2 linked regions of the Coturnix japonica genome follow. The protein of the gene in region 1 interacts with the protein of each later gene in a pairwise test. Links are inferred from orthologs where the notes say so. Each region holds a gene or a part of one and is shown in the gene's direction. Other genes may lie near its edges.

Region 1 (4,390 bases):
AGACTTTACTGTGAGGATGATTGAGCAACAGTCATCCTTGATGAGCTGGAACAGGTTGCATGGAACAGACATGGGGACACAACCCTGGGTAGGGGCTGTTAAGGGACCCTGCTTGAGCACTTTGTGAATAACTTTTTAAAATTGGGAAACAGAGGATATTCCCCCCCCCCAGGCTTTTACTGTAAAAACTATGTTAGCTGCGAAAGAAAGAACATCTTAATTTCAGAACTCCCAGTACATTCCATAAAGTAACAACATAATGAGAGTCAGTGAAAACAAAACTACTCGTCTCATCACTGTTTATACTTCCCAGATACTGGCTGTGAAACTGAAGTTCTTTCAGAGTCAGAGCCCATAGCAGAACAGTGTCTTGTGACTCTTAGACAACCCTTTATCACATCATGTGGTGCAAAGAGCAGTGAGAAGAAGAAATGGAGGTTATAGATAAGACAGAATAGCTCTCCCCACCTCCTCAGAAATATGTATGGCTGGTTATTGCACCAATTTTGTTTACCACTGCACAAATTCCTTTGGTCTTAAGGAAAAAAAAGCCTTGTACACATACTTCTTGTGTCTTCTACCTGAAAGGAGGTTGTAGCAAGATGAGAATTGGCTTCTCCCAGGTTACTAGTGATGAGAGGTAGAGGCTTTAAGTTGTGCCAGGAGGTATTCAGGTCGGATGTTAAGAAAAATACTTTGTCAGAAAGAGTGAAGCAGGCTGCCCAGTGGTGTTGGTGGTGTTCAAGGGTAGCTGTTGTCCTGAGGGACATGGTGGGGATGGGCTGGTGGTTGAATTGATGATCTAAGTGCTTTTTCCCAACCTTAATGACTTCATGATTCTAAAACAATGTATTGCTTTCCAATGGAACATATGAATAACTTAAGGAATTACTAGTTATGTCCAGAAATAAAAAAGATTACTTAATAACCTGTTTTACAGGTTACACGTGAAGACGTGAAGTTGTTTTCAGACAACCATTCATGACTGAAGAGTTTCTGTGCTCCGGCTTAGTTTCATTAGGGGTGACTATTACAAAGCTGGCAATCTTGCCAGATACTCAAATCAATAATGTGGTCATTGTGCCTGTCTGTTGAGAATGGAAATAGTGATGAAACAGCGGCGGTAAAGAGGTAAAGGTGATTTCAAAGACTATTTGAGGTAGTGGTCGTGTTGGGTGTACTGGGAGAAGTCCGACACACCAATGGTGGTTACTCATCACTGAATTCTGTTCCTCATCTCTGCTGTTCTGTAAGAGCTACAGCTTGGCGCTGGACAGAGCTCCAGTAGAATCTGTGTATTTATGAGGTAACATACTTTGCCAATTCACGCAAGCAGGAGAACTGTGAGCTTTAATCTCACTCCTTGGTGGCTCAGAGACAGGCACAGGCCCGAAGCTTTAAATCCGCAGCTTGTGAGACGCAAACTGGTGTGACGCGAGCACAAACGAGCGGGCAGGGCCGGGGCTGGAAGTGACGCGGGCGGGCGGGGCTGCGTGGCGCTGATGGTGGAGGCCCCATGTTGATGTCCGCGGCGTCCTCCGCGCCTGCATAGGTAAGGGGCGCTGCGGGGTGCAGCTGAGGGGGGTGGGCGGGTTGGCAGCCCCTTCCCCGCCGGTCCTCGCCACCCGTTGGGGCGGGCAGGGATGTGAGGCGGCGGGCGGCGGCGCTGCGCCACCGGGAGGCCCCCCCCCGCCTGTACGGGGATCAGCTGGTCGGGGCGGCCTGTGTAGGCCTGGATCTGGGCTGCAAAGCAGAGCAGTCTGCAGAAGTCGCTTTTTTTTCTTTTAGCACATTCTTAGAATAAACTTCCTAATTTTTTGAGGAAATCTATTTTAAAAAAATTATATTCCAGTGTTTTTTTTTTTTTTTCTTACCAAGGTGATGAAAATTGACGTGGTTTGTTTCCTTTCAGTGTTGCTTAGCTTCATATAGTAAGGCTGTTCTGTTTCTTTTAGGTTAGCAGAAACTGCAGCTTTGTACTTGTTAATAATTCAGAGAGATGGACCCTTATGTTTTGCTTTTGAAGCATTTTGTGGTGCTGTAATTTTTAGCACGGTGTATTTGGAATGAGGTGGTGAAGGGAAATGGTGACGGGAAGCTTTTGCAATCCAACCGAATTAGTGCTAATCCATCCAACTGCATGCAGACTTGAATGTCTGCGCCATCAGTTCAGTTGTTATTAGTAAAAGTGCAAGACTAAGGGTATCTGTGTTTAAAGTGGGGACAGCAAATGTGCTTCCAGTCTGCTGACATCAGAAGAGAGGAGAAATAAAATAAGGAAAAAAAAAAGCCTGTTTAGATAAACTTTCTCCTTTGTTAAAATGTCTTAAAATGAAGCTTTCTTAGTTTTACTGAGTGGGGAACAACATTTTATTTATGGAAATACTGTCAAAAGCATTCAGAAGTACGGATTTCCCTGAAGCATCCAGAGTCACTAAAGACATTTAATTAAGTCATAGCTAACCCTAACCCTGCCTCATTTTCCCACCACTTTTATTTCCTTCTTTCTGGTACTCAGTTTATCTGTGTTATAGCAGTAGGGGCATTCAGTTAAGTGGTGCTTTCTCTCTGTTTTCATTTCATCACTGAGATGACTGCCTTTTTTTTTTGTTCTGAGAAGTGATTGTTTTGGAGCATTGCGTTTTGATGGGCTCGGTCTGTAGCTGGTCTGTTGTCAGACCAGAGGAGTGAATTGTTTCTCTGTCTGGTATCTTTTGAACAGGTTATTTTTAACTTAGTTCTTCATGATATTGAAGTAACAGCTTCTCCAATTTTGTTGCAGATCAAACATGTCATCCTTTCAAGAAGTCCCATCTTCAGCTAACGCTTTACAGACATCCAATTTTGCACACGTGATTTTTCAGAATGTGGCAAAAAGTTATCTGCCGAACACACACCTTGAATGTCACTACACTCTGACCCAGTTTATCCATCCTCATCAGAAAGACTGGGTTGGTATTTTCAAGGTAAGTAAAACTTAATCTATTCGTGTTTTTCACTTGTTCACTGTCTTCTCTTAACCAGTTTCTAATAGAGAAATCGAAAAATAATACTTTTATAAATGTTAGAGGAAGCATCACAGTGTGACGTCAGAGTCTGAGCTTTTAACGGAGATGAGGCTGGAGTGATAAGTACAAATGTGCTGGAGTAAAGGGAAGCCATGATGTGGTAGAGAATTAAATGGAGATGATTTGAGAGGAGGATTTTTAATAATATATTCAGTGACTACAGTCAGTGAATTGTGAGAGGGTGACATTAGCTACAAGCAGGGCGATTTCTCTGGTAGGAACTGGTTAAAAATACATCCATGTATTTTGATGACCTGATGTGTTTTGACAAACAGGAGTGTGACTGAGCGTGCTTGATGTTTAGTTAACAGGGCGAAGGAATGGAAGAAAAGTCAGAAGTTTAAAGAGAGTGCTGTTCAGGTTACACAAGCATTTTGGTATTATTTACGTGTATCCTGAGAAATGAATGTTGTGGTTCTGTGTGTATCAATCTAAGTAAGGGAGGCAATTAGGTTCCTAAAAATACAGATTAGATTTTTTTTGAGCACAGCAGAAAATACAAAATGTTTTTTTCAGTGACTGCATGTAACGCTATGTCCAATGTACAGATATGCTTCATTTCACTGTGTATGATGATAATTTCATAAGCTATTGAGGTATGAGGTTTTTATTCTACTTCGACAGTTGCAGGCAATACAGCTTTAGCAATTGTTTGGGAAACACTTTGAGCTGACGGAAGGTAACACGGCTGTAACATATCTTCCCTTTCTTTTACTTATTTCTTTTCTTCCTCCCCTTTATGTGAAATAGGCACTTGTGTGATGAACAAAGTCTGGGAATCGATTTCAGGTTCAGACCAGCATTTTGGGAGTAAATTATTTTTAGTGGGGAATTCCACAGCTGAATTTCTAGTCCATCTCATTCTCATCACTACGAAGGAAGGAAATGTTGCAAGATGGGGAAAAGGGTGAAAATTGTTTTCTGTTTGTTACTACGTGTTATGAATATACTGTCTTTATATAGTTATAGTGCAGTGAGGTAAATGAAGCCAGCTGTCCTACTACATCTGTGCTTATCAGTGTATATGTGTGTGAGTAATGCTTACAGTGAACAGTTTGTACCTTACTACATCTTCACAAAGACATTTTTTCCCGTGAACATTGTGGCATTGATAGTTCTAATGTGTACTACTGTTCTGTTCTAGGGATCAATGGCTTCGGCTGTATTCCTTCCTGTGTTTGCTCATCTGGTTCACTAAGAACTTTTTTCTGATTGTATTGAACAAAATTTATAGGTACCTCTTTCGATCTGAATGAAAATCATTAACTTAAAAGTCCAATTCTTCAGCCATAGTGATTTCTTCAGTAAACACTGTATCCTTG
Region 2 (4,061 bases), on another chromosome or scaffold:
AGACAGCAGATAGATCAACATTCAATTATACAGCTACAACCTGGAAAAGGCTGTAAATGTGGCAGTGACACAGGATTAGATAATACAGGCCAACCATTTTCATTAAGGTCCATGGACTTACAGGACTCCCATCAATGCAGTCTTCAGGCATGCGAGCAAGTAAAAAAAGAATAACAGTTACCTTTCTTCCTTGTGCTTCAGTATGGCACTCTGAGAAATCCATTCACTGCGCAGAAGTGCTTCACTAGTCCAATAATTACATGCAAGTGAGAAAAACTTCCAAGGGAAAGGAGAGAAGAAAGATCACATTCCACATGCAAGTCTGAATCTGGATAATTCGATGCTAGTGTAAGCACAGGTGCTATGCAGACACACAGATGACCTCCCTTGCTCTCTGCCTCCAGATGATGTAACGCAGGGCATCTGCTAACTGTGCTCACTTTTAGCTGCAGTAGGAATTAGAGCCACAGCCAAGAATTTCACTTGAAGTTCCGTTCTTCAGCTCCCTCCCTCTCTTGTCAGGTGCTCAGTTTTCTGTCAAACAGCTGCCTGTGAAGGCTAACATCCCTCTGGAAACAAGGTGCTGGTGGTTGTGTGGAACCAAGTCCAGGTGTTCCACATGCATCTCTGATAGGAGCCCTGGAGCTCTCCTGCACAGCTGGGGAGGCTTACCTTGGGGATGGGTCCCTTAGGGGCCGTGTTGACAGCACCAAAACTGGCCACAGCTCCCCTCCCAAGTCTGAGGCTCAGCAGCTCCTCAGAGCAACACACCCTGTCCTCTCTACATACTTCAGTTCGTTGTGCCATTTGGTGAGCTGTGCTGTGATGGTGTCATGGTTTTGTAATTTTGCTATCAGTATTCCACATCATAACATCATGTAAAGTATGGATAATTTTACTGAATGTTCAGCTCACAGAAGAAGACTACATATCCCAGAGGACATCATGGTCAGGGATAAGTCACGGGACCAGGACACTATATAATCTCACTCCCAGGCTGGACTTGCTCTTCACCAGACTTTTATAAACCCCCTTACCAGGGAGAAACATCCCTTGCTTCACAGTCACACCTTATTCCTGAGATGGCCGTCAGGCAGTACGTACACTTGTGAACAACTTTTGTCAAGGATAAAGCACAGGAGGAGTACATTTTGTCAACAATGTGACAAATGCCTTCGGAGCTCATAAGAACTGCAGCCACTGCCAGCAAACCAGACACTGATAAGCCACTTTCTCACAAACAAGGTCACATATCTCATCAGAATTATGGTGCTGTTGCTCTCTTTTGTTTTGTTTCAATATAAAATACTAAAAACAGTTGTATTACTTTCATGTATGAACCATGTTATGTATTTTATGAGGGCTGCCCTGAAAGTAATGCTTCATACTATGTGATGCTGTCCCACGATGTCAGAGGCAGACATTGGAGGTATGGCAGCAGAGGTTGAATCCTAATATTCGTTACACGTTGTAGCTGTGTGACAGATGGCAGCAGAGGGGCAGTTTGACAGAACGGCGTCTGGCATGGAAGTGTGCGTGAAGCAAAAGCAAGGCTGGGCAGCGCTGGGATGGATGCTGGGATGGATGCTGGGATGGATACTTCCAAGGCAACTCCCAAATGCGAAGCAGCCCGCCCGCCACACGCCGCCCCTCGGGGCGGTGCCGGACCGGCCCATAAGAGGCGCGGCGCGGGGCGGCGGCCTCAGGCGGCGGGATGCAGGCGGGTCCCGGGGTGCAGCCGGTGCGGCCCTTCAAGCTGCGCAAGAGTCTGGGTATGGTTATGGGGATGGGACGGTACGGTGCTCTCTCTCTCTACGTTACAACGTAACGCTTGTGCTCTCTCCCGCGCAGCCACCCGGCGGGAGGAGGTGGCCGGCATCAGGGCCAAGTTCCCCACAAAGATCCCGGTAATTCGCTGCTCCGCGGGCGGGGGCTCCCGGCTTCTGCCTTGAGTATTTTGGAAGGAGGGGAACGGAACGTCGCTGGGGCTTCTAAGTGACTCTAATTAAAAACAGGTAATCGTTGAGAGGTACCAGAAGGAGAAATACCTTCCCCTGTTGGACAAAACTAAGTTTCTCGTCCCCGAGGAGCTGACCATGACGCAGTTCATCACCATCATCAGGTAAGGGCCGCGCACTACCGCGTGAGAGGGGCCTGGGGCGGCCTCCCCCAGCGGGAGCTGATAGGGAAGAGCTCGGGGCTCCCGAGGTCCCTCTTCCCCCTCACTGGCGGATAAAGGCGGCGCGAGGCTGCTGCTCTGCTCCCGTTCTGCCTGGTTCTGGGCTGTGCTCTGCATCCAACTGCTGCTGCCCTGCTGCTCCTGTTGCACTTACAGGTTGCCCAAACCTGTGGCAGCTCCATCCCGGGTGTTCTTTACAAATACACTGGCAAAGAGGTCTCCTAAAGGGGGGCGTTCTGTGCAGGGGTGCTGGGGAATTGTAAGGCAATTTTTTGTCAGTGACAAAAAGTGCGTGGAAGCCATGTTTCCAGTTATTAACTTATGTAGAAGATACTTTTGTCAGCCAGTCTTCATGTGTAAAGTCTCTGAGTGAGACTCCTCTGAAGGTGGGCAGGCCTTAAGTTTAACAGGCTGTGCTGAAATTCCCTATTGTAGCTACACTCAGCACTTCTTGGGAATGGGCAGCCCCAGGCTCAGGCTTGGTAGCAGCTACAGTCCTGCAGCTTAAGCCTTTCCCTGGAGCAAGCTTCCTGTTTCTGAGTACAGTTAACTTTCTGATGGAAATATTAAACTAAGCAACGTCTTCGTGCATAAACTATGTACAAGAAATGCTGCAACTATTCTGCTTAATGTATTTTATAGACTAAGGTTGAAACCTTAAATTTGCTAATGCTTGGTCCTTTGTTTCCTTTTCCCTCTTCATTCAGAAGCAGGATGGCTCTGACTGCTACACAAGCTTTCTACCTGCTGGTGAACAACAAGAGCTTAGCGAGTATGTCTTTGACCATGGCAGAGGTGTACAGGGACTACAAGGATGAAGATGGCTTCGTGTACATGACATATGCTTCCCAGGAGATGTTCGGATGCTGCTCACTCACCTTAGGGAAAACTATGGAATGCCACCATAAAACCTAATGCTGGGGTCTATATGCTGCAGCTAAGCCACTGTGCTGTGAATCATGCATGTGACATGAGACTCGGAGATGCTCCCTCCAGTATGAGCTCTTGAGCTCTGTACTGCGGAGTTATGATCCAAAAGCTGGCAGGACCGGCTCAAGGCAGAGATGGTGGTACACTTTTCCATGGATGATAATTTAGATGTATATTTTTATACTTGGAAGGCACTGTGGGGTTTCTTTTTTGTTGTTGTTGTTTTGGAACTGCACCTCCACTTTTTGCAATACCGATCTTGTGATGTAACTGCTTTTTAAGGTGTTGCTTAAGAATAAAATAAAGAAGCTTTTAAGTACTAGGTTGAATGTCAGTTTTAATTTGGGGAGAGACTTCCTGGGAAAAGGTCCTAGAATGATTCTGGCTCCAGGCTTCTGGAGTGGAGTGTTGCTTGCACAGCCACTCATTCAATTTCACAATGAGATAACAAAACTCAAGCCTGCTCATGCAGCAGTAGGCTCATACCTACAAACAGTTCATTCATTGAAGTACCTGAGTAGCAGGGTTGCATCAGTGCTAGAATAGGGGTCAGTGTTCTGCTCTTTCTATTGAATTCTGCTAGTCTGGTCTGTAGGCAAGCTGGTCATCCCTTTCACCTACAGGCACCTGCACAGCTCTTCTGCTGAGGGACTTCAGTGAGCCTTGCCTCAAGTGTGGGTGTTTGTGCTGTACCTTACAGAGGTATGTCAGCGTATCTGGAAAATGTCAAAACTATCATGTAGTGACATGCTGATACATTTATTGTACAAGCTTCCTGAAAATGAATTGGAAGAAACTCTTGACAGGAGGTTCAAGCTGAAGTGCAGCTTTCTAATATATCAGGAATGTGTCAGAAAGTTGTAAATGTTCAGTTTGTGCATAATCGGAATACCAGGTTATGTAAAAATCTGTTGCAGCGTGCAGTTAACCTTCAGAAGCCTCAGCTTAGGAT

What was found.
Region 2: the proteins of TAX1BP1 (region 1) and MAP1LC3C interact in binary tests that used the Homo sapiens proteins (3 or more experiments, as listed by UniProt). The link is inferred for Coturnix japonica from reciprocal best matches to the Homo sapiens genes TAX1BP1 and MAP1LC3C.

Annotation. Positions count from the first base shown.
Region 1 is NC_029517.1:30,157,491-30,161,880, forward strand, and holds the start of TAX1BP1 (tax1-binding protein 1), read left to right. Parts: upstream 1-1,437; 5' UTR 1,438-1,552; intron 1,553-2,782; 5' UTR 2,783-2,789; coding exon 2,790-2,966; intron 2,967-4,390.
Region 2 is NC_029518.1:32,120,206-32,124,266, forward strand, and holds MAP1LC3C (microtubule-associated proteins 1A/1B light chain 3C), read left to right. Parts: upstream 1-1,658; 5' UTR 1,659-1,714; coding exon 1,715-1,772; intron 1,773-1,851; coding exon 1,852-1,907; intron 1,908-2,015; coding exon 2,016-2,122; intron 2,123-2,886; coding exon 2,887-3,094; 3' UTR 3,095-3,431; downstream 3,432-4,061.